Linked DNA regions of Tribolium castaneum. The protein of the gene in region 1 interacts with the protein of each later gene in a pairwise test. Links are inferred from orthologs where the notes say so. Each region holds a gene or a part of one and is shown in the gene's direction. Other genes may lie near its edges.

Region 1 (5,962 bases):
TAGATAACAACTGATTATTTTTGTATCAGATAATTGGGTTTGTTATGGTTTATTGTTGGAAATGAATTGGTGATGATGGCACGCTGAAGCGACTTAAAACCTGACGAATTATGAGTCATTTATTAGCTGAATTTTAAGTGAAGGTTGATTAGTCAGGTGTGCGGAAATCCCCCATATTTATCGATGCGGTAGAGTTAGAATACAACTCTCAATAAATTTTATACGTTTGTTACTTTCGATTTCATTGTTATTTTGAAGATGCGTTGTTTAAAAGTGATAGTGATAAAAGAATATCGATTTTTGATGGCACTTTTTATCAGATAAGAGGACAAAAATTATTAAAGGTGCACCGCGTCAATAAAGTCGTGCCACCAAACTGGTTTTCTGTTAAGGCTAATAATTAATTAATTAGCGGTTTCGCGATATTCAGTCCAGGAATTAAATTGTTAGATAACCTATTACAGGTTTCTATAACCGGTTTTTTTTTCGGTTCGCACTACGGAGGACTATGAGTTAGGAGACGAAACGAGATGGATTTTTTGGACCAAAAAAAATTGCTTAGAAAAAAACGTAGTTCGGAGAATAAAAAGGGCACAAATAGAAATAAAACACATTTGTACAAATTATTATTTATTCTTAATAAATTAATCCCCTTGAAAAAATCTAAAACAAGTCTAGAAAATGGTCACTGGCAGTGCTAGACTTCCCCGAAATTCGTATGTCCCGTACTTTGCGCATGCTCCCTTGCCTGCAATTGTCCATTAAGGAAAATATTACAATTCATGCATTTTAGCGTAAATTTGTTAACATCAGTGAATTGTCGACTCGACTTCGCCTCGCGCGCTAATTCCTGCGCCTCTTGTAAAACCTTATCATCATCAGTGGGAAAAATCGTCTGAATACTCGCCCCCTGAAACGAATCAAATAATTTTTTGATAACCCCCTGAGTAAGGAAATTACATCGGACGATTCCAAAAAAAGGGGGTCATAGTGTATACCATCAAACATTAGAAAAATTCGAAGTGTGTAATGCTGGTCTTCCCCGAACCGGTTGATAATAGCGTTGATCGTGTCTACGACGGCAATTTCGAACCCATAGTGATTCGAGAGAATGGCCAACTCGATGGCGCCCCCCCATGACTTGTCGTCCTGGATCCAGGCGCAATACTCACGGTTGGGTTTCCCCAAAATCGCCTCGGAAAACATCTCGGGGTCGCTGGCCACCGTTTCGGCAATCACTTGTCTCATGTAGGGGGCTGCCGTGCCACTCTCGTCCAGTTTCCCGTTCAGGGCGAAGTAAACACTACTGAAAAGACACGAGTTGTCGGCCGGCACCACCTTCTTCATCAGAATCCCCGGACAGTCGACACTTTCACTGATATGGCCCCGCAAGGGGGGCGCAGTCTCCCGGGCCTTCTCCTCCAAAATCAGGGTATCGCCCGACTTGAGACCACTGCGACTCAACTCGAGACCATCGTCCCCCAAGGCGAACGCCTTCGGGGGGAACCCTGACAACACATGGAGCCTGTCCTCGGGGATCTGCGATATGGAGCACAACTGGCGCTTCAAATCTTTGATCGTGTGCTCAGGTGTTAGGTTTTTGATCACTTGTTGCCCCGTTTTGGTTTTGACGCGCAAAGCGAACGACATGGTGCTCTCTGGGGGCTAATAACAATGACAGTTGGGAGTGACAAGTGACAGGAGAAGTGAGGTTAAGGGCGAAATTAAGGGCTTGGGGCCCGAATTTAGACGATTGGGGCGAAAGGGGGCAACACTTGGGCGCTTTATCACCGAGATAACATTTCAAAAGGGTTAAATAAACACAGGGATTTGGGGGGGCTAGGGACTTTCGCCGACTGACGCGAGATACCAACCACACTTTTTTAATTATTTCAAGACAGGAAAAAATTATCACGTTTTAGATCAGTCTCGTGTCACGATTAATACGTTCTAAGTACGGTTCTGATTATTTTTAATCCCCAATTTTTGTTTTTTCTCGACTAACAGTTATGCCAACTCAAGGACGGCCATTTTTATAACCAAAAATCAAGCCGTTTAAAAAGGGCCGTTTTTTGCATTAGTGTCCCAAAATAATTACTTCTTATCTAATTAGTGACTCAATAGTGTTGACCCAAGCATCATTATCGTGCTTTTAGTGGTATTGTTATAAAATTTAAGTTTTTGTCAAAAGTGAGGTTAGGTTTTTAACTAAAGAGTGCAAAAATGCCGCGTATAATGATAAAGGGGGGCGTTTGGCGCAACACCGAGGATGAGATCCTCAAAGCGGCGGTAATGAAATATGGGAAAAACCAGTGGTCTCGAATTGCCTCGCTCCTTCACCGCAAATCGGCCAAACAGTGTAAAGCGCGTTGGTTCGAATGGTTGGACCCCAGTATTAAAAAAACGGAATGGTCGCGGGAAGAGGACGAAAAGTTGCTACATTTGGCCAAGTTAATGCCGACTCAGTGGCGCACGATAGCCCCCATAATCGGGCGAACGGCCGCTCAGTGTTTGGAGCGCTACGAGTACCTCCTGGATCAGGCACAGAAGAAGGAAGAAGGGGAGGATGTCACGGACGACCCCCGGAAGCTCAAACCGGGGGAAATTGACCCCAATCCGGAAACCAAGCCTGCGAGGCCCGACCCCAAAGACATGGACGAGGATGGTAAGAGCTAACAAATGGGGTACATTTTTCTCAGTTTCAAAACACGAATTCAAAAATGCAATAAAAATTTCAAAACCGCAAAAGAATCACCCTGTATAGTATACTATAACGCAAAAAGGTTGGCACGCGTGTTTGTCGTTGCAGAGCTGGAGATGTTGTCCGAGGCGCGCGCCAGGCTTGCCAACACCCAGGGCAAAAAAGCGAAGCGAAAAGCGCGCGAAAAGCAGCTGGAAGAAGCGCGTCGATTGGCAGCACTGCAAAAAAGGCGCGAGCTTCGAGCTGCCGGCATCGAAGTGAATTCGCGTCGTAAGAAAAAACGCGGTGTTGACTACAATGAGGAAATCCCCTTCGAAAAACGTCCAGCGATTGGTTTTTACGACACTTCCACCGAAATTGTTGATCCAATGGCGCCCGATTTTCACAAAATGCGTCAACAACATCTCGACGGTGAACTGCGAAGCGAACAAGAAGAACGCGAACGTCGCAAAGATAAACAAAAATTAAAACAAAGAAAAGAAAATGATATTCCACAAGCGATGCTACAGAATCAAGAACCGGCGAAAAAACGCTCGAAATTGGTACTTCCCGAGCCGCAAATTAGCGATCTGGAGTTGCAACAAGTCGTAAAGTTGGGTAAAGCGAGTGAAGTTGCACGTGAAGTTGCAGCAGAGAGTGGAATCGAGTCGACTGATACGTTGTTCAATGATTATACGGTGGCGGCGCCACAAGCGGCAGCGGTGACTCCCCGAACTCCGGCACCGCAAACTGATCGGATACTTCAAGAAGCGCAAAATGTCATGGCTTTGACGCATGTGGATACCCCACTCAAAGGTAAAAAAAAAATCACAAAAAAATAAATAAATAATGACGTAACTCGAAGAGGAGCGAAAAAATCGAAAAATTTTATTCTTGAAAAAAAATTGCAATTTTGTAGTAGTTTACCGTCCACCAATCTGTTTTTTCAAAAAGTGAATAGTTTCGCCAAAAAATACTAAATTGCAAAGTTTGCCTCACCCGCTATATTGCTCAAAAATATCCCGAAATTAAGAACTTTTGTAAGTTCTTGATTTTTAAAAATGTGCGTAATAATAATTAAGAAAGGTACAAATAAATTAAAAAAAAATTTTTTTTTTCTTATAATACGAGCTAAATATAGAGATACAGTTAAAAGTTTTACTTTGTCACCTACCAATAAAAAAACTATTTAAGTCACAATAACTGAATACCCTGCCAAGAGCATGCCTATGTGACTTAAAATTGTTTGAAGATTCCAAATCTGTCTTTATTGGATGAAATATCAATTTTCTTGTTCATAATATGTAAAAAAAATAAAAAATAAAAAAATGAAATTGACATTAAATGACTTGTAGTTCTTTCTTTTTATTACTTTATTTGTCTCAATAACTTAATAACCAATAAAAAAATTTCTAGGTGGGTTACTACCTAAAAAATACCATAACTTCAAAACGAACGAAAAAATTAAAAAACTTTATACTTTGAAAAAAGTCCCATTTTTATAGTAGTGTACCATCCACTAATAACTTTTCCCAAAAAGTTAATAGTTTAGTCGCAAAACGCCAAACTGCAAACTTTGCCTCACCTTGTATATCTCTTTCAAAAGGGGGCCGAAACACGCCACTTCACAACTCGGATTTTTCGGGCGTTTTACCACAAGCCCTCACCATAGCCACTCCCAATACGGTCCTGGCGACCCCTTTCGGGGCCCAAACCCCCGGTTTCATGACACCGCAGGGCCCCCAAGGCAGTTTTACGCCTTCAGTTCGTGACAAACTCAATATAAATGAGGAAAACACCGAAATGGTGGCACAAACTCCAGCCGAACAGCGTTCGCTCCAAAACAATTTAAAAGAACAACTAAGACTAGGCTTAAGTAGTTTACCGACACCGAAGAACGACTACGAAATCGTCGTTCCCGAACAGGAAGAAGAGGAAAAAGAAGAAGAAAAAACGCCAAATATTGTCGAAGATCAGGCAGATGTTGATGCGCGAGCGCTTGAAGAAGCGAAAATTCGGGCGGCTCAGGAGTTAGCCCTGCGGTCGCAGGTGATTCAAAGGGGGCTGCCGCGCCCCCACGATGTAAATTTGGCCGTTTTGCGGCCGAATCACGAGTCGCATTCGTTGACCGAGCTGCAGAAAGCCGAGGAATTGATCAAGTGTGAGATGGTGACAATGTTGCAATTTGACAATTTGAAAAACCCTAACCAAGTCAAGCGCTCGGCTTTGGCTCAGGCCCAGCAGTTGGCATTCCTGGAACAGCACCCGTATGACGATTTCAAATCGGATGATTTAAAACTTGCCAAACAATTATTGAAACGTGAAATGGAAATTGTAAAGTATGGAATGGGCCATGGGGAATTACCTTTGGAGGCATACACCCAAGTTTGGGAGGAGTGTCTGGGACAAGTGCTTTTTGTTCCAAATTTAAACAAATACACGAGGGCTAATCTAGTGTCGAAAAAAGAGCGGTTAGAATCGGCGGAAAAAAGACTGGAACAGAACCGCTCACATATGGCGCGCGAGGCGAAAAAGGCGGCAAAAATGGAGAAAAAACTAAAGATTTTGACAGGGGGTTATCAATCGAGGGCGCAAGCCCTTATCAAACAATTGGCCGATTATTACGATCAGATCGATCAAGCGAATTTGGAGTTGAATACGTTCAAGTTTTTGCAAGAGCAGGAGAAGGCGGCGCTCCCGAGGCGCATACAGGTATTTTTTTACAATTGTTGTTTTTTTTTGTTATTATTTGTGTTCCAGTCGTTAACCGAGGATGTTAACCGGCAAATGGAGCGGGAGAAAGGGTTGCAAGGACGTTACGGCGAGTTGCAGGGACAAATCAAGGAGTTGCAAAGCGAGTTGGAGAAGTTGCAACAGGAGATTGAAGTTGCAAGGGGGGAGCAGGAGGGGGAGGCTGAGTGATTTGATGAATAAATACTGATTTGAGTGTTGGTTGTTTTATTTATTTGGACCCCCTGATAAAAAATTTAAGCTATGCCACTGGTTAAGTCACAAAATGATATTAATAATATTAATCGGTGAAAATTTTGGACATATTAACATATAAAGCGATGATGAAGTTATGAAACTGCGCTCTCTGGTGACAGTAACGGAACTATCAAAGACGAGAGCGTTTTATTTGTACGTCATTTTGTATCCTAACCTTTAGATCTCCGTAGTTGAGCCCACAAAAAACGTTTAAAAAATCGAAAACTGTGCTAAAACCCCTAAAAATGTGTTCCTTGACTGGGCTGTAGCCCGTAACAGTTAATGATTTGCAGT
Region 2 (6,216 bases), on another chromosome or scaffold:
TAGATAGTGAAATGGAATAAAAAAACTCAAACTACGTATTTGCTGAAATAACATGTGGCTAAAGTTTTAAGTCTTTTAAGGCAAACACATAACTCCAAAAAACAACGCGGAGATAGTTGATTTTGGAACGCATATATAAGATTACTTTACGTAAAGAAATGACATTGATATTTCAAACTTTAATGCAGTTGATGTTAATAACTATTTTTTGTTAGTATTTAGTCCGCCAGATAATTGTGCTAAATCCACATTATCATTAGTACGCAAAAAAATCAACGATAATGGTTCCTTTCGTCTTCAGCTTGCTGCTGTTGATGAAGTTTATGAAATAGTTATAGTGTTGACGAAAATATTTTTATTTTTGATGTTGTGTATAGTTCTGCGTAACTGGCTATGTCTATACCATAAACCAATGAAAACTTCCACAAAACCGCATCAATTATTTTGGGCATCTTCTTAGTACCTGCAAGAGGCTCATTATCTTTTAGGATTCCTTCTTGTAAACAACAATGATCAAAATAATAACTGCAATTGTGGGGTAAGTTTTTGTTGGTTTGCGGTTGACATAGCAAGTAATGTGAGAACTATAAGTATATACCCTATATATACTCAAAATTGACGCCCATGCTTTTAGGATTTGCTTCAGAAGACTAAAACAAATCGAAAGTTAAGAGTGAAAAATTGTCCAATTGTCCTTCGTTATCGAGTTATTGATAAGTATCTAAAATTTAAAATTTGTACATTAAATTTTATTAAAAGCGAATTTACCAAATTTGTTGTCACAAAGTATGCTATAATGCGATTTGGAAACTTTTCCGTGTAGGCCCTAGTCTCAGCAGTGGCATTGCCATCATACAAACATCTTACTTATAACCGAGCTTTTAACATATCGTCAAAATTTCGAATACACTAATAAAGTGGTATCTTATCATTTAACACATACAAAAACGAAGGAAATTAATAATACTCTTTACTAGACACAGTTATTCAAAGAATTTTAATATCGCTAACATCAACTAATCAATTATGTTGCACAAATAATTGGAAAGACAGCTAAAGCTTATTATTTACATTTTTATCAATAACTCTAAAACGAACAATTGGAAAATTTTTTACTCTTAACTTTCGATTTGTATTAATACCCTAAATCAAACTGCCATAGCACAGGCGTCAATTTTGAGACTTTTACTTGTTAGAACGTAATCTATTCAACATTTTTCAAACGAGCGTAAATGGTTGGCTTGGTTAAACGAAACTGATCGAAGAAATTTACATCACTAACAATTTCAAAATAATTTTTCTTTTTCTATAAATTTTTTGTCTTCGCAGTTCGGAAGAAGATAATGAATTAGAAGAAAAAATGAACACTTTCTTAATTTTGTGCAATTCAAAAAACTGACAAATTTAACGTTTGTTAAAGTTGCTTTTGTAATTTGCCGCCGTCTTTACGTCTTTACCTAATCATTATTTGACGAAATATTTTACGAAAATTTTTAGGTTGAAACGCATTTTAAAAATTGAAGTCACTTTTAAAAGTTTAAGTTACTTTAAAATGATTTATGAAACGATCCTACTTCAAGTTATTTCGATATAAATTTGGGATTATGACGTCATAACCGTCTCTCGAGCATTATTTGGTCCAATTTTAAGATCAAATAGTTTTTGATCACTGCCAAAGAATATCGAAATGAAGACACAATTTCTGAGATATTTTCGCAAAGTGCAAGACAAAATTTAGAACAGGTAGGAGTTTGGAAAGTAGTTATTTTTTTGATTTTGTAGAAGATATGTGAAAAATATGTGATTAATAAAAGGTTTCTGTGATGAGAGGCGGTTGTGACGTTAAGGCTTCACTTATTTTTTGCTGCAGAAAATTTTGAAAAAAGTCTCTATAGTTCCAATTTCCGTTAAAAGATAAATTAGGTAAAATACAATGTGTTCAAAAATGGTGGTTCATCAAGTTAACTATTTTAAATTTAAATTAAGCGGCACATTACGTTCAAATTTCATATGTGACTTGATGAACGAAGTTTTTTGAGCACATTTTATAAGTTGCCACTGCCTTCAATTTTAGTCATAGACCACTCTGATCAGAATTCGAAATATGTTATTTACTCCGTTTCAGGTTCGATAACGATATGGGATTTGCGCCAAAACACATATCCTGTGAATGTGTTGGATGCTCATGAGGGAGGCGTTATGGAAATACACTTCCATCCAGATCATCCTGACCAGCTATTCACTTGTTCCACTGATGGGGATGTTTGGCATTGGTCGCCTAAATGTGGCAGTGCCTCTAGTTTGCTGAATGGGGAGAATGTTTGGTTGGCATCCGAGGCTATCAAAAATAAGTTGGATGTTTTTACGCTCATGCCTAAATTGCACAAACCAATCAATAGTCTGGATGTTAACAGAAATAAGGTTCTTTGTGGGTGCGATAACGAGGCGGTTTATTTAATCAATGGAGTTAATGTTTTTAAGTAATTGTTTTGTACAAAGTTTCTAATAAAAAGTTGAACCACTATTTGGTTGTTGGCATATACGTGATAGCTGGAGGTCGTTATAATGGGTTCGTTATAACCAGACTCTACTGTATTATATCTTTGTTGATCATATCATCAGCATTTTACTAAGGTGTTTTAGGTTAAAACTTAGAAATAAGAGCAATATATACTACCACTTGTTAAAAAACACCACAATTTCACATTTTGTATATTTTTAATTTCGCATTTGTTGGAATTCGCTTTTGACCGACAATAATAACTAACCTCATCTACTTAACCTAACATTTCTCAACGTTATATTTTCGTTCAAAGCGCCGCAATGCCTGTCTCTAGCGATGTTGTTCGTAAAGAAACCCCCATGGAAATTATATTTGTACGTATCCCGTTTCAAAATTAGTCCAAAATAACTGCGAAAATTCCAGACAGACGAAGACCTCCCTTACGAAGAAGAGATCCTCCGCAACCCCTACTCTGTGAAGCACTGGCTGCGCTACATTGAGCACAAGAAGAAGGCCCCGAAGCACGGCGTTAACATAATTTACGAGCGGGCCCTTAAAGAGCTCCCCGGCTCTTACAAACTTTGGTACAACTACTTACGCACTCGCCGCCTCCAGGTGAAAAACCGCTGCATCACAGACCCCGCATTCGAGGAAGTCAACAACGCTTTTGAGCGCTCCCTTGTTTTCATGCACAAAATGCCGCGAATTTGGATGGATTATTGCAGTTTCCTGACCGATCAGTGCAAGATAACGCGGACTCGGAAGGTTTTCGACCGGGCTTTGAGGGCGCTCCCGGTGACCCAACACCACCGGATTTGGCCCCTTTACCTCACATTCGTCAAAAAGCACGACATTTCCGAGACCGCTGTGCGCATTTTTCGCCGGTATTTGAAGCTCAGTCCGGAGAATGCGGAGGAATACGTTGAGTATTTGACCGAAGTTGGGCGTTTGGACGAAGCCGCCGTTGTGTTGGCTAAGATTGTCAATGATGAGAATTTCGTGTCACAGCACGGGAAGTCCAAACACCAGCTCTGGAACGAGTTGTGCGAGTTGATTTCGAAAAATCCCGAAGAGGTGCATTCGTTGAATGTTGATGCGATTATCAGGGGCGGCTTGAGGCGGTACACTGATCAGTTGGGGCATTTGTGGAACTCTCTGGCTACGTATTATGTCAGGAGCGGGTTGTTTGAACGGGCGCGGGATATTTACGAGGAGGCGATTCAGACGGTTACAACTGTGCGGGATTTTACGCAAGTCTTTGACGCCTATGCACAGTTTGAGGAGTTGACGTTGAGTAAACGGATGGAGGAGGTGGCGCAAAAGCCCAATCAGACTGAAGATGATGATATTGAGTTGGAGTTGAGGCTGGCGAGGTTTGAGAATTTGATGGAGAGGAGGCTGTTGCTGTTGAATTCGGTTCTCTTGAGGCAGAATCCGCATAATGTGCAGGAGTGGCACAAGCGAGTGCAGCTGTATGAAGGTACGTTTGTAAATTAATATCATACAATTTTACTCGTATTTATTACTAAAATATCGGAAATTTTACCTTGTAAAAGTTGTACGATTTATGGTCACTTGTCTTTGAAAGTAATAGAAATTTAATTGTATTTTTCTCAATTTTTATGAATCGAAGATCGTCGATGTCACATGCAATTGTAAGCAGTTTAAAACTTGCATATATATCGGGCACTTGCTCATCTACCATTATTTATCTACTGCCTGTTTTATTGTAAAAAAAACCTATACGGACTCTTCAAATACATACAGGGCGTCTCAAAAATGGCGAATTCCGAGTTTATAGCATTGTAGAGAATCACTTCAGTAGTCCAAATGTAGAAAAAAAAGTTTTGGGTCTTCCCCACTTCTAATTAATAAAAAATTAAAAAACATTCTAAGGGTGGATAATCGTCGGCTAACTTTATCCTGGGGAGAAATTTTAAAAAATACATTGTTGTAACAATTGTGACCATAGTAATTATACCAAAAATACCATATCCGGAGTTTATTTCACGATTGTAAAATCCACCCCAAAATGGATTGAATTTAAAAAAAAAAAGACTTTTCAACTTAGTTGATTTAAGAAGAGAATAATTTAATTTTGGCTACTACAGTGATTTTTCAGCTTATTTTGATAAAACTGGATTCTAACAAGTATATTTTTACTGTACAGGGTAGTGCAATTTGGAAGAGGTTTTTAGAAAACAACGAGTGACACATTCTCAAATCCGTTTTTTTGAGAAAATAAAATTGATAAAATCCGCATCCCGCTATCGTCTTTTGTTTTAGACTTATAATTATAAACAAAACAATCTTAAAAAATTCATACAGGGTGGCTCTGGGGTGCGTAATCGGTCTATAAATTTTTTATTATTTGAAATATTGCCATGTTGTTTTCACTGTCCGATAGATCGACTTAAAGTCCACAAACTAAAAATAATTTTATTGTACACACGGTGTTGTATACAGGGTGGTGAACCAAAGTTACATTTTTTTAAATGAAACATCCTACATATTTTTGCACAATTGGATGCTACGCAAAAAAATGTAACTTTATATAAACTATAATGAGTCTATCTTTTTTTGTTTCGGAATTATTCAACTTTTCGGTACCAATTTTTGAAAAATCACTGCGAAGTAGTGCGAAGTCGCCTATGAATAATTTTCGAAAAATTTGTAATAGAAAAACTCAGAATACCTTGTAGTTTTAGCAAATAGACGACTTTTAGTTAAAGCACATAGATTATATACAGAGTGTGCCAAAACGCAAAAAGTTGAATAACTCATTTTTGTCAAATGGAACACCAAATATTTATTTACACTAACGATAACATTTTTCATAAGCTTTCTAATGATATGCGGATTGTATAGCAAAGGACTAGGCACACTTCTTATGGGAATTTAAGGACCACTCAAATTGAGTAATTTTTATATTTATATTTTTTAGTGTTCAAAAAATTTTTTTTTTTTTTATTTATTTTATTATTAATTTTTGATGAGCCAAATTGATTTATGTATCAAGTAATAATTAGATTACTAATAGTTACTAATTACTAATAAGTAATAATTAGTCACATTAGTACATAGCAAAAAATAAATAATCATTTAACTTAACAGGATAACAAATTTTATTGTAATAAAATAATTTTTTTGAAAAATTTCGAAAAATATTTTAAAATTGCTATGAAGATTCCATATCGTTAAAAAGCATATCAAAAATGCTATGGATTCATGAAAAAAAATACAGTGTTCCATTTGAAAAAAAATGACTTTTTCAATTTTTTGCCTTTCGGCACACTCACAGGTATTCTAAATTTTTGTTACAAATTTACCGGAAAATATTAATCGGCGACTTTGCAGTGATTTTTTAAAAATTGTTTTTTTTTATAACGAAATGTAAAATAATTCCAAAACGAAAAAAGATAGATCCAAAATAGTTTATATAAAGTTAAAGTTTTTTGCGTAGATTATGAAAAATATATTACCCAACAAGTATATTTATAATTTAATGATGTTTTTAACACTAAATAATCTAAAAACAGTATAATAAATTTATTAAATGTTATGAAGACTGTGCTAAAAGACTGAAAAGTTTTCTCTAATAAAACAACTAACAGAATGCCTTTTTTTGCAACTAAGCCGTTAAACGTTGAAACCAAATATTTTAGGGAGTAAAATGCAAAATCATTATTGGGAGCTATTACATACATAATACT
Region 3 (6,173 bases), about 3.5 Mb from region 1:
CAACTGTAAAAAAATTAAATTACTGAATGTGTAATTATTAAAAGTGACAAACTTTGACGTCTTCTTCCAATACAAGGCCAACTTCGACCCTCCACCACGGCTCAATGTGTATGTCTTTGGGGACGGGTGGTAGGAGCCCCCTTACATTTTTTTTCCCAAACAAGCGCCCTCTATTCGACCTCGACTTATTCATCAATTCGATGTATTCATTTCTGCCAATCCCCAATAACCTCAAACCTGAAAAACACCAAATGAGGGAAACACGCCCCAAAATAAATTCGCGGGAAGTACAATCTGCTGCCGTAAAGTTCGGAAGAGTATCGTAACTTTTCTCAGCTTGCATCAATTTCTCAACCACTGAAATGTAGTAATTGAACGGCGTTATCCGCAAACCTTTGACAATCATATCGGCCAAGTGGTAGGGGAATAACATGAGTCTCTCTTTACTGTAAGCCACCACACGTTCGTAGTAACGTTTCTCATCTCGGACGATGTGTCGTACTGGAACAAAGACAATCAAGGGGGCTCACACACACCCCAAAGACACTCACCTAAATTTCCGCGATAGCGCAACTGGTTTTTAATACTGAACGAGACCACGTAGCGTTCGTAGTCTTTGACCGAATTGTTTAAAATCTGGAAAACGGGGGGTCATTTGTCGCAACTAAAAACCAAACTACCTGTTTGATATGTGCGGGGAGTTGAGACCATGGCACGTTTTTACGGATATTTTCCTCGATTTCGGCATTCATGCTGGTAAATGGGTTAATTTGTTGTTGATAAACCCATTTGACAAGTGACAGTCAGTAATGACAGGTGTCACAATTGCACAGTTTTGCTGTTTTTACGCGATTTTGGCATGAATTGGGCAAGAAAGCGTGTTTTTTTTTTAAATAAATTAATGTAATGCTGCTTAATTAATTTTTTTGCGTTGTTTAATCAAGAAAAAGTGTGAGCTGGCAGGGCTACCAACAAGTGTCTCTAACCACACACTTTTTGACACTGGCATGTGCAAAAAGTGGGGTTGGACCAGTTTGTAAAAAGTGCTAATAATCATGGAATTGGGGGGCGAATTGTCCCAAAAACACGTCCTGTGTCGCTTCAAGTCCGATTCAGGCGAAATCACCGGCGACATCATCGACTTGCCCTTGTCTTGTACTGTGTCCCAGTTGACTGAAATTTGCAATGCTCTCCTCGAAACCACAAATTCGTACATTTTTTACGCCAACGACACCGAAATCACACATTCGCTCGAAAAAACCTTAAACTTGTCGGACTTGAACACCGAAACCGTCATCGACATCCTCTACCAGCAACAAGCCGTGTTCCGAGTGCGTCCCGTGACAAGATGTACAAGTTCAATGCCAGGCCATGCCGAAGCTGTCATTTCCGTGAGTTTTTCCCCCGATGGTAGACACCTAGCGAGTGGTTCTGGCGATACAACCGTTCGGTTCTGGGACGTGGACACCCAGACACCTTTTAAGACATGTAAAGGGCACACGAACTGGGTGTTGTGCATTGCGTGGGCCCCCAATGGGCGTAAACTAGCTTCGGCGTGTAAAGACGGCAAGGTGGTGGTATGGAACCCCGAAAATGGGGCCCAGATTGGTAAAACTCTAATTGGGCATAAATCATGGGTCACGGCCCTGAGTTGGGAACCCTACCACCAAAACGCCGAGTGTCGCTTTCTAGCCTCGGCGAGTAAAGATTGTGACGTCAGGATTTGGGATACGGTCCTGTGTTCTTGTACTAGGGTTATTTCTGGGCATTTGAAAAGTGTGACTGTGGTCAAGTGGGGCGGTCTGGGGCTCCTTTATACGGCTTCGCAGGACCGGACTGTTAAAGTTTGGAGGGCTAAAGACGGTGTGTTGTGTCGTACGTTAGAAGGGCACGGTCATTGGGTCAACACTTTGGCCCTCAACACTGATTATATCCTCAAATTGGGGGCGTTTGACCCAGTCAAAGACACCCAAATCCAATCACAAGACTTCGTCCTGCGTCGTTACAACGAAATCGTTAACCCTATCGGTGATGAAAGACTCGTCTCGGGCTCCGATGATTTCACTTTGTTTTTGTGGGCCCCCTCAAAAGACAAGAAGCCGTTAAATCGGCTCACGGGGCACCAACAATTAGTTAACGATGTGAAATTTTCACCAGATGGTCGCATTTTTGCCTCGGCTTCGTTTGATAAGAGTATTAAATTATGGGAGGCCAAAAGTGGTAAATTTATTTGTACGTTAAGGGGGCACGTACAGGCTGTTTATGTGATTTCGTTTTCGGCCGATTCTAGACTTTTAGTGAGTGGAAGTGCCGATTCAACACTCAAATTGTGGAATTTGAGGGAGAAGAAATTGGAAATTGATCTGCCAGGTCATGGGGATGAGGTCTATGCGCTTGATTGGGCCTCAGATGGCTCCAAAGTGGCCTCGGGGGGTAAAGACAAAGTCTTAAAGTTGTGGCAAAATTAAATGCAATAAAATTTTGTAATTTTTCTCGAATTTTATTTAAAAAAAAAACAGAAAACTGTAATTGTGCGCGACATGTGGCGTCACCAGTGCAAATCTACAAATCCAATAATACAAAAACTGGCTTGCGGAGTTTAATTACTTACGTAAATTATTGTTTAATCTATATTACAACAAACAAACACTCGATCAAAATTTAAGGCACGATATTTCACAATTTGTGTGGTCCAAACATAACCACAAAAAATCGTAAGGTTATGTTCGTGTTTGTTTGTTGTGCTACAAGTTGGTAAAAGTCGCCCCTGAGATGGAAACCAAGCCGCAAAAGATGCCCAAAGTGGCCAAGGTACGTTATTTACCTTCTCTTTCAACTTAATAACTAACTAAAATAATTTTCCAGGTGAAAAATAAAGCCCCTGCTGAGATCCAAATCACAGCCGAGCAGCTCCTTCGCGAGGCAAAAGAGCGCGACCTTGAGATTCTCCCTCCGCCCCCTAAGCAAAAAATCTCCGATCCAGCTGAACTTGCCGACTACCAACTCAGACGCCGTAAACAATTCGAAGACAACATACGAAAAAATCGAACTGTTATCTCCAATTGGATTAAATATGCCCATTGGGAAGAATCGCAAAAGGAAATCCAACGAGCTCGTTCGATATTTGAACGTGCCTTGGATGTGGACCATCGTAACGTTACCATTTGGTTAAAATACACTGAAATGGAGATGCGAAACCGTCAAGTGAACCATGCTAGAAATTTATGGGACAGAGCCGTCACGATTTTGCCCAGAATCAACCAGTTTTGGTACAAATACACCTACATGGAGGAGATGTTGGAGAATGTGGCTGGGGCCAGAGCTGTCTTTGAACGCTGGATGGAGTGGCAGCCGGAGGAACAAGCCTGGCAAACGTACATCAATTTTGAGTTAAGATACAAAGAAATCGACCGTGCGCGAGAAATCTACGAACGCTTTGTTATAACACATCCCGAAGTCAAACACTGGATTAAATACGCCCGATTTGAAGAAAATCACGGTTTTATCAACTCGGCCCGCTTGATTTACGAACGAGCTGTACATTTTTACGGTGATGACCATTTGGACGAAAAATTGTATATTGCATTTGCACGGTTTGAAGAAAACCAAAAAGAACATGACCGTGCTCGCGTTATCTACAAGTATGCCTTGGACCATCTCCCCAAAGAACAAGCGAAAGAGCTGTACAAAGCCTACACCATACATGAGAAAAAGTACGGCGATCGTTCCGGTATTGAAGATGTGATTGTTTCGAAACGTAAGTTTCAATACGAACAAGAGATACTCGAAAATCCGACCAATTACGACGCTTGGTTTGACTATTTGAGACTGGTGGAGGGGGAAGGGGACCTTGAGACGTCACGTGAGACGTATGAGCGGGCCATAGCCAACGTGCCACCAACGAAAAATAAACAATACTGGAGGCGTTATATTTACTTGTGGATTAATTACGCCCTGTTTGAGGAAATCGAAGCGGTTGATTATGAAAGAACACGTCAGGTTTATAAAGCTTGCCTTGACTTGATCCCCCATAAGTTATTCACGTTTAGTAAAATTTGGTTGTTGTTTGCACAGTTTGAAATCAGGCGGAAGAATCTGATTGGTGCTCGTAAAATTTTGGGGACTGCCATTGGTAAATGCCCACGTGATAAATTGTTCCGTGGGTATATTGATATAGAGATACAGTTGCGTGAGTTTGACCGGTGTCGTATTTTGTACGGGAAATATCTAGAGTTTGGTCCGGAAAATTGTGTGACTTGGATGAAATTTGCCGAGTTGGAGACACTTTTGGGGGATTTTGAGCGTGCTAGGGCCATTTATGAGTTGGCAATCGCTCAGCCAAGGCTAGACATGCCTGAGCTGCTCTGGAAGGCCTATATCGATTTTGAGATCGGGCAAGAAGAGTGGGCTAATGCCCGACAATTGTACGAAAGATTGTTGGAGAGGACAAGTCATGTGAAAGTTTGGTTGTCGTATGCGAAGTTTGAGTTGAGTTGTGAGTCGGATATGAATATTAGTTTGGCAAGGCGTGTTTATGAGCGGGCTAATGAGAGTTTGAAGAGTTATGGGGAGAAGGAGGCGAGGGTTTTGTTATTGGAGAATTGGAAGGAGTTTGAAAGTGCAAATGGGAGCGAGGAGACGAAGGAGAAAGTTGAAGGGAAAATGCCAAGGAGGATTAAGAAGAGAAGGAAGGTTATTGATGAGGATGGTGTTGAGCAAGGATGGGAGGAGATCTTTGATTATATATTCCCTGAGGATGAGGCCAGTAAACCCAATTTGAAGTTATTGGCAGCTGCCAAAAGCTGGAAGAAGCAGAAGCAAACGGAAGAACCGGAACCGTGATTTTGAGAAAATAGAATTAAGGTTTAAATTTTGTTTTATTCCCCTTTTGTCACTTATCCAAGCGCTATCTGGTCAACGATTTTGCACTGCAACAATTAATTTTTTGTGGGCAAATGATAAGATAATAAAAAAATCGATACTTTATTCATTTAAATACATTAAAAGCGAGTGAGTTTTGAGACTTAACAGCCGCCATAATCCAGCTTTGATGAACACAAGACACACGTATGCACACATTCCTCTACGTTTTCCAAAAATTGGGGTTTTGTTGCAACCGTCGTTCAAAATTCGTGTACCAGTTCTGTACTGTAGCCAACGGAACGTACGTGGCCGTGGGATCTGGGACCATTTGCGGTTGCGTCACCGTATAACTCAGCACAAAATTCATAAAATTCTCCAACATTTTCTGAGCAAACGTGACATTATTACTGGGATTATTCGCCGATTCGATTTCCCGAATATTCGCCAGCGGCTCAATAGCGATCCCTATTTGCGCATTGTGTACGATGTGACTTTGCCCGAATAAAATATTCATCGAGTCGCCCATCTCTTCGAGTTTTTTCAGTGATGAGATTTTGAAAATTGCCGACGGTTTTATGTTGGAAATGTGGCCGAGGGGCTGCCAGTTGGGGGGCGCGTGTGGGTCAGGCCAACTGAAGTAGACTTGACCGGCGGTGCCTTCGGGGAACGGTATAGCCCCTGTTAGGAACACCACGATGTGGTTTATACTGTCGGCTTCTGGGATTGTGGTTATGAATTGTGTCTCGGAAATCGGCTGGAATTCGGTTTGGACCTGCAATTAATTCAATAAAATATGTGATGTCTTGGGAATGGTGGGGCCCACCGGACGCCCTGATACTATCAAACCGAACATTGCCATCACGAAGCTTCTAGAACATTTCTCAAATTTGTTAGGTTAGGGACGCCACAACCACAAAATCCCTAAAAAATAAGTCACCAAATTTAATAACGTTTCTGTTTGATTTAGCAAATTATAGCGAAATTTCATCAAAAAAGCTTGATGGGTTTCACTTCGGACAAGAACAAGGACTGGCATTAAATTAATTAAAACATTTATTTCTTAAAAAAAATCACTAGATCATAGTGACCAACATGGTCACCAACTGTTAGAAACGTCAAACATGTCACGACGGGAGTGCAATTGTATGTGAAAAAAGTGTTTTTTTGGATTAAAAACTCCGTCAGTTCTTTTGGGATTTAATTTTCATCAAACACGGTACGTAACAAATTTATTTGAATCGGTTTTCATTCAGTTGGTACTTTTAAAATGATCGTGTTTTGTTTCTACCGAGTGACAATAAAAGTAGTAA
Region 4 (6,098 bases), on another chromosome or scaffold:
GAGCGATTCAAATAAAAATGCAAGTGTCTATTTATTTCTTTATTTCAAAATAATTGCAATATACATTTTATATACAATAAACATTAAATTGATACATCTGCTATAGCACCAACTCATACTTCAAACAACTACATCGCACATAAAATTTTTGCAAGTCAAAATTTTATAATTAATCACAGAACCTTTAAATCCAAATCTATACAAAAAGTGAGACTTGAACCGAAAAATAAGTGTATTTCTTTATATCCAGTTTGCGTTATAAAAATACCTCGTTTCGAGGCTTCTTATACACATCTAAATTAAAATATAACGATGATATAACTTATACAACTAGACATATAAAGATGGTACATACAGTAACAATGTTTACTTTGTAAAATAATATAAATGCTATAGGCGTAAACCAGTAAAAGACCTGGCAGTTACAATCGCGCTTTACTGTCATTTTTTATTGACTGACTAGAATCTACTGCTCCATAATTCACAAAAACTTCATCATAATTATTTTGATAGAACCCTGATGTGGGCGCACTGACAGCCCCTTGCTGTGGGGACACCAAATTCGCATATTCATTGTCCCCCCTTGGAATTGTGTACATGCTGCGCCCCCTAATCCTCCGACTTATCGAACTACCTGAAATATTTCCCCTGTATCTATTGAATTATTATTGGTCAAATCTACATACTGACAATCCCTAAATGTTCTTGGATATCCCTGTGGACATCTGAGACATCCCACATTGCAAGAAAAGCCTGACAACAGGACTGATTCAAGCCAGTTACTGCATACGGTTCATACGAAAAACTGTAATGATGTGCTATTGAGGCCATGCACATTTCAATGCAGATTAAAAAATCCTACAAACTTGTGTTCAACCCAAATTAAACTTAATACAGTAAGAATTACTTGCAACCGCGTTGATAAACTTAAGCCATCATCAGTTGAATCTTTGGAGTTTGGCGTAATTATATTTGTATACACTAGCATATCTATGAGCACACCTTGACTAGAAAACATTATTTTTAAGTAACTATTCTCCAGAAGACCTAAAGGAGGTGAAACGACAAAAAAAAGTCCGTATTTATTGCATTCTTGTTAAAAAAAACATAAAAACTATACGCCGTGTCACCTCCTAATATGGAGTAACTTAAAAACAACTTACAAAAAAGAGAAGAAAACAACAGCCTTAATGCACAAAAACTTTGGTAACGGTTTCATTGGTCTCAGTTCTGCTATGTTAGCTTTGTAAAACATGACCAAACAGTACATGGCCATAAACTGTGATATGTTGTTGACAGCTATCAGATATGGAAAAGCCACATTTCCTTTAAATTCGCCGTCACCATAAACCCCAGACACTTTACAGATGCTAACAAATTACACAATTAATAAAATTAAGTAAACACAGTTGAGTAAACATACAAAGAAATGGCAGTGGTTAGAGGCCTAACAACTGTATATTGGAGAATTCCGTGCTTGCAGATGTGAACGAATTCTCTATAAAATTGCATAAAGTTTATTTGACGTGACCTGTAGATTTGAAATTATGTTGGCAACAGCAGATTAGTTAATGCTGCCAACTTAATTTCGTACACATAGTATCACCTTCCCATTTCCCAGTCAGGTAAACAACATAGCGGAAAAATGTGTTTCACTTGAGGTTTCAACTCAAGACTTGCCTCAAGATCCATTTCCATGTTCAAATAATTCAGCAAAAATCTCATAAAGTTGTATATTACATAAGCTTCATAGCATTCTCTTAAACTGTCCACATAGACTGACTGCTTGGGATAAATAAGCCCCAACCACTGTAAGACATCATCACAGCCAAAACCTTAAATCTGGTTACAAGTCATAACTTACTGCATTGATGGCATAAATGGGAACCATCCACAATATCCTAAAGTACAATAATTGCGTCAATATCGAACCGAACTGATAAGCCGTCTATAAAACCAATCACATTTTTGATATTATTACCTGATGATATGTTTCTGTAACTTGGGCTGGGTGTAATGTATGACATGCTGAATGATTTCCCACAGAGACAAAGGAATAGCAACCCAAACGAAGATTCCAGCAATCAAAATTTCTTGGTCTCGCTTGTTAAACCCATCCTCCAAAGACTTCACTAAGAATAAAGGCACGAAAACAAGAGCTGCTAACGCGTAAATAATAATCACCAATGGTCTTATCCATAATCTCCAACGGGCCAAACAATTAAAACAAGTTTCGAACGGCATTTTCAAAAAACATTTTACATTTTTGACACTTTTTTGTTATGACAGATTTTTGACAATGGACTGGGCTGACATCTGACGGGCACTCGACGCAACGGCCACAGGGCCGGACTGTGCAATTTTTATTTTAGGGGGGAAAATGGCATTGTTTTGTATTGCAAATCTGGTTTTGACTATTTATAATTTACTACAACCCCACGTGGCCCTTCCCTGCCACAAAGGAAGTTACAATTAAGTAATCAAGCGAAATCAAGGGCATCCAACCTAGCGCCATCTATTCTCTACGCAACCAGCCTACTATGCGTTGGGCGTGTTGTTATCGTAATTATGCGCATGCGTAAACGAGTCTCGTTAATAGCCGTCATGAAGGGCGTTTGTGTTCGCGAGGTGGTGATTTTATAAAAATAACAGTTTTTTAACTTATGAATGTAAGTTTATCAGTGAGACCGACGATATTTAAGTAGTAACGATAACAGGTAAGTCATCGTTTTTTGCCGGTTGCTGCGGTTACCAATAATGTCGATAAATCTTAACCCAAGTCTCTTAAAATGGCCGAATAGGTGTAACCCAAACTTTACTAAACTGTTAAATAATTCAGTAGAACTGTATTGACTGGCTTTTTTCACTTTCAGTGATGATACCTTTATTCTGGTTGTTGAGCGAATTGGCCTTTTGTCGTTGATTCAAAGTTCAAAATGCATTTGTTGCTATGTCAGTGAACTTGGAGGTGGTTTACAAATGTAACCCAGTGCCGGGTTACTGCCCTTAAGGGACAGGTCAACTGTAATAATAGCCGCCCTACAAATTTATTAATTTTGTTAAATTTCAATATTATCTTTAGGTAATATTATGTAGCTTCTTTTGATCATACTTTTTCCAGGTCAAGAGTATGGTCATAATCCCAAAATAAATTGGTAAATGACTGAATGTCACATTATTTGATAAAGCTAATGATGGCCTATAAACTCTTGTGTCTTTCGGTGTCTATTAATATCTGTGATGCGTGCATGAGTCATATTTGTTGTAAATAGTATTAAATTTAAATTTTTACGTAATCATCAAGTTGTTACATAATAATAGTGCAAGTGTTTGTGTAGTAGGATTGTGTTCTTATCGCTACAACTCTTTCCTTTTAAACCTGCACATTTTTTAAACGTTTTATCACAGTTCAATAATAATGTTTGTGTAGTAACTGAGTAAATATGACTGTTCTAGTTTCCATAGTCTGACTGTTAGTTCAGACTGTGTTAATTAGCTGCCTTGTGTATAAAAATCACACATTTTTACTTCAATGAGACATGAAAAAAGACAAAGTTCACTTATTGCTCGTGCTTACGCATTTGCTTTTAATTTAATCTAACTAATGAGCGTTTAAAAACGTCATATTTCTGACAAAATTATGATCGCCTAATGATAGTCTTTAAAGACTTTAAAAGGACTTAGGTGTACTTGTACTTGTACTCTCTTGTATGCGTTTTACAAAAGATTGTAACATTGATTAGTTTAAATTTGAATTATGTTTTACTATATTATCAGTTTTTCGTATAATTTGGCATTGTCTTGTCAAATAACTTGCTGAATGATATAAACGTCATTCAATAATATTTGTCAGTTTGACAAACTGACTTTAAATTGAAATAACACTGTTAAAAAACACTGCTACCAAAAAAAAAATTGAAGTAGCTCTTGTTTTCGTAATTTAATCCAAACTTGAAATGCTTAATTCCATGATCTACCACAACACACCTGTTTTCTGATAGGATTACATATAATCATAAACAAATTGCGTCACACTTCCTTACCTAGCAAATATTGAAATATACATACAGGGTCAGTAAAATATATTGAACCATGCATTTTTTTAAATTCTTCGTGAGAGATAAATAATAATAGTATAATATCTGTTTCAAAACTAAAAACAACTGTCACTTTTCGCAATTGGTTTTCTCTTTAGATTCGTGAGTTTTCTTGGCATTAAATTTAACGCAGAATCACACGGAAGTACATCAGTTTAAATTTGTGATCTATTTGATCCTAAAAAATGTACATGCGTTGTTGCCACTTTTTCTACAGTTTTAAGTCAGATAGTAGTGTCCTCATGTTTTGAGAATGAAATATTGTTTTATTTTCAATGTCAACTTATCATGAACAGTTTTTACGACAAAAATGTTTTTATTAAAGATAATGTTATTTAAAAAATAGTTCAAAAACGCAAATTAGTTTTTAAGGCGACTACGTAATCAATATTTCATCAGTTAGCTTTTTTTCAAAAAATAAATAACTTAGGCAAACGAAACTTAGTTTTTTTGATTCACCTTATGGTAAAAATAGTACGTTTTACTTTAAAGACTGCTAAGTTGTAGCTAAGTAACAGCCAATCATATTGTGAAAACAACACTTCTTAATTATTTTACCTTTACTTATATAAAATTTTACTTAATTTTGAATTGGAGCCGTTTCTAAATCAATCAGCAGCTATGTAAAATTTAAGTAAACTACTGGCACTCCCAAAGAACATAATATTGTCTGTTTAGTTTAAAATCACTCAACGAAATAATTAACATTTATTACAGAATAGGTAAACCAATTGCTCATCTTCACATATATACACATAATTATTTGTAACATTACCAATTGGTCCAATTTAAAAAATAAGTCTTATTCAACTCTGTTCGTTGTTATTTTTAATAACTTTATTAAGGCAGAAAGAAGTTTTATTGGTGCTTACGTATTCCACAAGCACCCGATATTAATGATTACTTACAGGAAGCATTATGTATGTTTCCGCCGTTACTGCTTTTAGAGGGAAATTATTGATTTTAATGGAAGACGTGCCTTTAGAAGGTTACGCATTTTGTGTACAGAAATGTGAAACGAATATTTGTGCACAGACTTTTTGTTTTATAAGAACTGAATTAATGTAATTTCTATTTTAATTAATAAACTTCATCAATTACCACGATTTAAGTAATTTGCTAATTGGTGCTGTTATCACGCCAGTATGTTTTTAGGTCAAATAAATATTAATTTTGTCATGTTCTGACGTGGTGGTTACATTAATGTGTTAAATAAAAACTAATTTACATTTCGTCTTTTTTAGTTTAGTAGATGACTAGGAAATACTTCATGGGCAAACAGTTTTGTGACTTATAATTGAAATAACCTTCTTAATTTTCATTGTGCTGTAAGTTCGAAAATTATTTGCAAGGTTCCGCGATTTATTCTGAAATACTTGTACCATTTTTAATAATAAGCATGTGTTGTTTAAGATGATCTAATCCAGAAGCAATTTTAAATACATCTAATCCTAACCAGAAGCATTAATGTTATGTAAACAAATAAACTAACTTGTGGGTGGAACATGTACCGTAAACACAGTTGTCTGTAAGATTTTACGTGCATGGGTTTTTGATCGGTCTTATAACGGTTCAAATTCGTTGATGATAAATTTTTACCAAGCAAATATATCTTGTTTTACTACTTGGAATGGGGAATTTCTTGACAAAAAGTTACTATTTTCCGAACACAAATTGGCTCGAAAGTAGGTAATTTGTGTCAATATTGGTTTAATTAGTGTCTGGCGTCTCGTTTATGGAGCAACGTTGATGCTTAATTCAATTAGGTTATTAATTACTTACCTATTAAGGTATACATGTTTGAAGATGCCTCAACGTTACGTATCAGAGTTTTGTTTCAGTTTTTACGTACGATAAATTACGTACTAGCGTAATATTAGTGATGAATGGAAATGCTTGAATAGGGTGTGAGGATGGCGTGAATTTTTTATTACATTCAGGTATTACAGTTCGTTGAGCACTTTGCCCGCACATGCCGATTTTTGGTGTTTGAATGTACAG
Region 5 (6,286 bases), on another chromosome or scaffold:
CGCCATTGCAACCGGGTCTAGCAACTGACGATCGGTGTGTAAGGGGTTCAAAGTCATGGTACCTTTACCCATATGGACAAGACCCTGCGCAATTCTTACCATAAACAATTGGAACGGGTTCTTGGTATGGTATAAAGCTAGTTGGCGTAGAGTGACCGCAAGGCGGGCATTGTTAGTGCCCGCCCCCACATAACCCAGCCCAAAAATGGCGTTGCAAGCAACGTCGTCGTCAATATCGTGTGAATATTTCGTCAAAACGTTGATTATAGTGGGCTGGGGATCGCTAACCGAAGTCAAGGCGATAGCCAATGGGACGGCTTTGCGGACCGAAGGTTCGCCATAACGTGATATTTGACCGAAAATTCTTTGAATCATTTCGGTCCCGAGCTCCTCACCCTTGGAAATGGCGGCCACGGCCAAAACAGCTATCGCTTTCCCCATATGATAATCCCATTCGTTCTTTTTCTTATCTTTCGAACCTTTCGTTTCGGTCGTTTCGGGAACTTCGACCTTTTCCTCGACCAATCGCAACAATTCCTGGATTATTAACACATCCCCACTTCCGGCGTAAGCGCACATTTGTAGCATGGTCTGGAAGATGGTCCGAAACGGCTCCTCAAACACATCCGCCACAATCGTCGGAACCTCAATCGCATCCTTGGTTCCGAAATATGCAAGTGCCACGCCCAAACCAGCCAATAACATGAAGGGACTTTTCAGAACGTCCAATCCGTTCGATTCAATCATTTTCGTCAAGATGATGTCCGATAATTCGTTATTATTTCTCCCGAGACTGATCAAACCGCATGCAAGACTCGCCACGCCCAAAGTTTTGACCAATTTCGAGCTCTGTATCACCGGTAGGAGGAGATTCAATACGTCGCTCCGCCCACTCCCGGCGTACGCCAATCCGATGCCTAGCACCGCCCCAACTTGCAACTCCTCACTGCCACTCCCCACGTAATCGCCCAGTAGGGCAAGGGCCGGGTCGCAGTCGTTTCGAATGCGACAATTGACAATACCAAGGGCTAGTAACGCGCCAGCTTTGATATTATCATCACTGGTGTAGAGATATTTATCAATTGGGGTCAAACCGCCATCTACGTCCCATAAGTATAGTAAACCCAGAGCTGCAGTGGCACTTAACATGCCAACATCTTTGTTTCGATAAATCCATTTATTGCCATCGTCGGTTGTCAAAAGTTTATCAGTGCCAAAACCAGCATTGACGAAACCGTTGACGAAGGACGAGGCCAGATTTTGACGGGCACTGTCCAGTTTCTCGCCGAGGACGCTCTGACGCAGCGTTACGGGCTCAAGCCAGGTTTTGTACACCTCTTCGGGCGATTTCGGCTCCATTATATCAAGCTAAAGCGAGAAAAATTTGAATTTGGCGCCGAAACACAAGGCGGGAAATTTGAATTTCTTCCGGAAATTTCGCATTTTGACCCCAAAATACAACATCACAAGACGGAAAATGGCAAATTTAAGCCAAATGAATAAAAATTGTCACTAACCTCACGTGCAAAACTTAAAAAATAGTGGCTCAAGTGACTATTCTCGAGAATGCTCCTCACGTCGTCATCGTCGAGATTAAATTCGATTGGGTAGAGGTGTCGGGCGCATATGAAGGCCATTTGATACAGTGTGATCCTAAAAATGAGTGAAAAATTGTTTGAAACGCCGACTAGATTACTTGTCAGTGCACGTATTGAAGAGTTTCTCGATCAAAGCCGAGTCTTTGATTTGAATCGCGACGACCAAACAGCGACAATGCTCCTGAAAAAGATAATAGAACTGCGAAATAAGCTTCAGTATTTTTTTGCTCTCGAGATCGTCCACATATTTTGCACAGGAGGCTAGGTACAAGCAAATGGGCTTGTAGTTTTCCCTCGTGACGTAATCGAAGAGCATGTACATCTGGTTGATTTCCATTAAAAGGTCGCAGCCTTGTATCTCGTCGTGGTGGCTGCAGTTAAACCTCATGATCTGCTTGACAAGGGGGCTCAGAGTCTTGTAGTTGTTCTCGCACATGACCCACTGTTTGACGATTTCGATCTCCAGCTGGCGGATGTATTCATGCCCCCAATCGCCGATGTTCTCCATCGTGCCTTGGAGACAGTACTTGAGACAGTCGAAGTCGCGTTTCACGCTCCCGTCGATAGCCCCCATGGACAGGACGGAGACGACATCGGAGAGATTTTTTTTCAGGAGGGGGTCCTTCATCGAGTCGCATTTGTTGCGCAGGGCCCCGTAAAAAGGGGCCAGGTATTTGAGGGGCTTTGGGACGGACGTCATGGACGAGGTTGAGGTCCGTATTAAGTACTTTAACATGTCGAGGGACACATTCACTAGCTTCGATTCGTCACCCTGTATATATTTACGTGGTTTTTTATTATTTTGATGATGGAAAAACTCACCGTAATTCGGTCCACGAGACCCTTTAGCTCCACTTGTAATTCCTTATCATCGTCCGACTAAAATTTGGGCCCCGTTTAAAGTATTAAATAAATAGGGGATTTTCTTACGTCATCTTTGGGAATCACCGGTTTTCGGATTGCTGCAGCTGCCATTTCGGCGAATTTTTGCAAAAATGGGCAAAAGGAGCGACCGTTTCAAATGACATGCAAAAATTTCAATTTGACGTTTTGGCGTTTCCGTTTCCGCCTAAAAGCTCAATAAAAATTGAAAATTAAATTATGGATAAGTTTGATATGCCTTGTGACGGTCCTAAAGGTCATTCGGATTGTTTTTCTTAATTTATGCCGTAAGGTTTAATTTTTTTGCAGATATTTTTTAATTCGTAAGCTTGCGCCATCTTCTGGCCTAATAGGTTAGTGTTTGGTAACGTACCCTAACCTTATTTAGTTTTTGCCGCTTGTTTCATAAGTGCGTCTTAAGCCCCTTTTGGGTAAATAGCCCCAATTTAGTGTTTGTTGGTGTCCAGAAATTGAAGAAATTGCTCAAATTACCGATGTTTTTACGATTAATGGACGGCGGTAAGTCCGAATGTCGCTTTAGAACTTTTTAAAATCCAGATTTTTTATGTGGGTAAAGTCCCCATTTTGATGTGTTTATGAGTTTGTTTAATTTTATTTGTAAACAATTAGCTCGGGGCCGTCTAGTATAGCAATTACCACGGCCACTTTGCTCCTACAATTACATGATTACGTCATAAAAATTGAATTTTAACTAAAAGAAGACAGCTTTTATTAACAAACCAATGAATTAAATCACTATTATAACTAATTTTCACTTTTTTATGCTTCTACTATGTTTACGTGCCTCCCTGAGAAATCCCCACTTGTGTTGTCCGTCTACAGGGTGTCCGTTTTTCGAGCTCCACTATGGGGATCTCAGTTGTGATAAGAGTTACGAGATCGGTTAAATTAGGGCAAAGTTGCACGTTGTTATGCTGAACAAGTATCTGAAAGAAAATTTGGTGTGCCATTTTTGGTTTTTGAATTATTGGGAAAAATAAAAAATTACTAATTTTCGTTTTTATTTTTTTAAGAAAAAAAACTAAAAGAACTAGATGTTTTTAAGTAGGAAATCCTTTAGGCACTTTTTACAAGAAACCTAAATCTGTCATCGTCTTTTCCAAGGCGTTCTTGATGTCAGAGTTACAACACTCAACTTTTAACTCTGACATCAAGAACGCTTTGGAAAATACGATGACCTTGTAAAAAAGTTCCCGAAGAAGGTCCTACTTAAAAACGTCTAGTACTTTTGGTTTTTGCTTGAAAAAATAGAAACGGAAATGACAAATTTCCGTTTTCTTCCAATAGCTCAAAAACTAAAAATGACAACATTTTCTTGCACATAATTGTTCAGCATAAAAATGCGCAACTTAGCCCTAATTTCACCAAACTTGTATCTCTTACAATAACTGAGATCCCCATGGTGGACATCCTGTATATAAAAACTTCGGAAGGGTTCAGTAAAAGTCGTCGCACAATTGAATAATTTATTACTATTTTTGGAAGTTGGGCGTTTTGTAAAACAGTGTGATAATAATAACAAAACAAAAATGGAATAAAGGTATTATAAAAGAAATACCCATCAGTTCTATTTTTTTTTTTTTTCGTTACAAATACATATATCAGTGAACAGTGGTCTACCTGAGTGTAAAAAAATACAATTTCTTTGTGATATACATTGAAAAATCGTCTACCTATAAGGCTTCGAATACATTATTGTGTAAATAGAATTAACTAGCACTTTCTTTGGTAGGCTTATACTTAAATAATTTTATGACTAGTTTGATAATATCACTCAGAAAAAAATGAACTGAAAGTGAAATAAAGCAGAAATTATTGTCAAGTGAATAATGGAATTGTCGGTTTGCGCTCACTCCTGCTTTGAATCGTTTTAGGAACTTGATAAATGCTGTTTGACAATAATTTCCTCACAACGAAACCTTAATAAATCATTCGAATTTACTCATTTCAGTCTTTGGTCTAGAATATTAAATAAATATAAATATGTACAAAAAAAATTATATACAGAGCGGCCTCTCCGAGATTTATTTTTGGATTAGTATTGTAAAACGGGTCTGGAATGGCTATGTGGGCAATAATATCGTTTCAGTGCTTTTGATAAATAAATCTCCGAGAGTTCCCGTAACCTATACAAAGGGGGCTATACCCCGAACCTATTATACACATACTGACTGTTGACCCCGTCCCCCAAATTCTCCACCGCCTCCACCGTGGGGTTCATGACGTTGAAAAGAATTGCGAAAATCGTGCAGGCGGCGTACACCCCCAGCGCCACCCACCACAGCAGCTGCTCGTGCAACTTCTGCTCGAAATTCTTCAAGACAAGCAGGCCGATGGTGAGCCCCGCCAGGGCCCCCGTCAGGTGCGCCACGTACGACACCGGCGGCCCCATCGCTTCGGCGGCATACCGCGAATAGATGGCGTACCCCACGTCGCAGGAGGCTGAAATAACAATTGTCAGTTGAATTTTGGTGTTGTGATAGTAGTGTCTAAAATAAAGAAGTTACAATTTGGATCAGGATCTCCTGTAATTTATTGTAGCAACGTTTTCTTTGTACACAATAAAGTTTTACAACACATTAGGCGTACAACTGGTTATTTATCAAACAAAACTTGTGCATAAAGTGATACTGAGGAGTTCCTGCATTTTTCGAAAAACTTCGAAAGTGCAACTACATGGATTGGAAGTACCTATCCAGTAGAAATTCATTTAATTAATTGTGAACTGATGGATTTTGTGGATGGAACAAAGAAGGATGAAAAGCTGGAGAAGAAGGCTTTGGCAGCAATTGTGTTTCTTGTCAAGTCACATATATTTACGGAAGTTAGAGAATAGAAAACTGAAAAAGAAGTTTAGGATAGACTGAAGAAAATTTATGAATATCAAGGTTTCCCAAGAGTGGCAACTTTAACAGAAAAATTAGTTTTGATTCGTGACGCTGATAGTAAGGGAATGAATGATTATTTAAATCAGGAAATGAAAATTGCCCAACACTTGAAGGCAATAGACAGTGAAATAAAGGATAGTGTTTTAGTTGCTCTTAATCTACCAGAACTTTTTAAGCCATTAATTATGACACTAGAGAACTACAATACAGAATTAGCTACAGATTTAGTGAAAGGGAGATTACTACTATAAGCTGCTAAATGTAAAAAATGAAGGAAGAGAATCAGCTTAAGTAATGAAGTGGCATTATCAAAAATTCAAGGATTTTATTGATAAAAATGGTATTTCATCACACAAAACAGGATTTAAAGAAACATGTTTTAATAGCAAGAAGAAAGATCATAAAATCTAAAAATTGCTATTCTTTAAGGAGGAATTTCAAAGAAACATCAAAATTTAAAATCCAAGACATTGGAGTGACTTCAGTTTTATTGTATGTTAAAGGTAAGAGGATTGAAACGCCAAGTTGATTATGCTCCGGGTTTGAAATTTAATTTAATTTCATGAAAATAACTAGGGAAAATTGAAGACAATTGTTGAAAATCAAAGATGTGAGATTCGAGAAAAGAAGACAGGAAGACTAATAGCAGTTGCAACAACAAGAGATGGAGAGTTATATAAATTGGCTTATGTAAAAAAAATATACTTCACTCAAAAAAACTTAAAATAAAAGTAATTTTGAAATTAAAGCAGTCAAGTTTTGAAGAGGCTCGTAAAAATGGTTCATGATATGAAATTTGAAGATATTAAGGGGAATGCAACATAAGAATAAGTTTCATAAGAAATCAGTGCACAGGGCTAAAGAAAAGTTAGAACGATGGGTTAGAATAGTGATATT

The links.
Region 2: the proteins of Cdc5 (region 1) and fand interact in a two-hybrid assay, tested with the Homo sapiens proteins (2 studies listed by BioGRID and IntAct, with this or other methods). The link is inferred for Tribolium castaneum from reciprocal best matches to the Homo sapiens genes CDC5L and XAB2.
Region 3: the proteins of Cdc5 (region 1) and crn interact in a two-hybrid assay, tested with the Homo sapiens proteins (2 studies listed by IntAct). The link is inferred for Tribolium castaneum from reciprocal best matches to the Homo sapiens genes CDC5L and CRNKL1.
Region 4: the proteins of Cdc5 (region 1) and beta-Spec interact in binary tests that used the Homo sapiens proteins (3 or more experiments, as listed by UniProt). The link is inferred for Tribolium castaneum from reciprocal best matches to the Homo sapiens genes CDC5L and SPTBN1.
Region 5: the proteins of Cdc5 (region 1) and Exo70 interact in a two-hybrid assay, tested with the Homo sapiens proteins (2 studies listed by BioGRID and IntAct). The link is inferred for Tribolium castaneum from reciprocal best matches to the Homo sapiens genes CDC5L and EXOC7.

What each region holds. Positions count from the first base shown.
Region 1 is NC_087400.1:3,566,018-3,571,979, reverse strand, and holds Cdc5 (cell division cycle 5-like protein), read left to right. Parts: upstream 1-2,018; 5' UTR 2,019-2,223; coding exon 2,224-2,665; intron 2,666-2,809; coding exon 2,810-3,496; intron 3,497-4,286; coding exon 4,287-5,392; intron 5,393-5,440; coding exon 5,441-5,602; 3' UTR 5,603-5,627; downstream 5,628-5,962. Other genes in the region: Yod1 (ubiquitin thioesterase Otu1), read right to left, coding at 698-910, 961-1,650.
Region 2 is NC_087398.1:14,036,969-14,043,184, reverse strand, and holds the start of fand (pre-mRNA-splicing factor syf1 homolog), read left to right. Parts: upstream 1-2,702; 5' UTR 2,703-2,823; coding exon 2,824-2,877; intron 2,878-2,926; coding exon 2,927-3,983; intron 3,984-6,216. Other genes in the region: nucleoporin Nup43, read left to right, coding at 2,126-2,484. UniProt on the Homo sapiens protein: Involved in pre-mRNA splicing as component of the spliceosome. Involved in transcription-coupled repair (TCR), transcription and pre-mRNA splicing.
Region 3 is NC_087400.1:95,589-101,761, reverse strand, and holds crn (protein crooked neck), read left to right. Parts: upstream 1-2,674; 5' UTR 2,675-2,772; coding exon 2,773-2,811; intron 2,812-2,865; coding exon 2,866-4,842; 3' UTR 4,843-4,870; downstream 4,871-6,173. Other genes in the region: protein FAM91A1, read right to left, coding at 1-3, 53-237, 292-501, 552-636, 681-752; Nle (notchless), read left to right, coding at 1,056-2,468; protein OPI10 homolog, read right to left, coding at 5,084-5,635, 5,687-5,722. UniProt on the Homo sapiens protein: Involved in pre-mRNA splicing process. As a component of the minor spliceosome, involved in the splicing of U12-type introns in pre-mRNAs.
Region 4 is NC_087402.1:8,235,661-8,241,758, reverse strand, and holds the start of beta-Spec (spectrin beta chain), read left to right. Parts: upstream 1-2,559; 5' UTR 2,560-2,717; intron 2,718-6,098. Other genes in the region: transmembrane protein 184C, read right to left, coding at 423-634, 687-858, 908-1,007, 1,164-1,370, 1,424-1,498, 1,607-1,809, 1,865-1,901, 1,982-2,244. UniProt on the Homo sapiens protein: Fodrin, which seems to be involved in secretion, interacts with calmodulin in a calcium-dependent manner and is thus candidate for the calcium-dependent movement of the cytoskeleton at the membrane.
Region 5 is NC_087399.1:7,104,809-7,111,094, forward strand, and holds the start of Exo70 (exocyst complex component 7), read left to right. Parts: upstream 1-2,840; 5' UTR 2,841-2,999; intron 3,000-3,953; exon of another isoform or gene 3,954-4,641; coding exon of another isoform or gene 4,642-4,943; intron 4,944-6,286. Other genes in the region: 26S proteasome non-ATPase regulatory subunit 2, read right to left, coding at 1-1,368, 1,518-1,653, 1,697-2,370, 2,421-2,477, 2,529-2,573; stet (uncharacterized protein LOC657740), read right to left, coding at 4,642-4,943. UniProt on the Homo sapiens protein: Component of the exocyst complex involved in the docking of exocytic vesicles with fusion sites on the plasma membrane.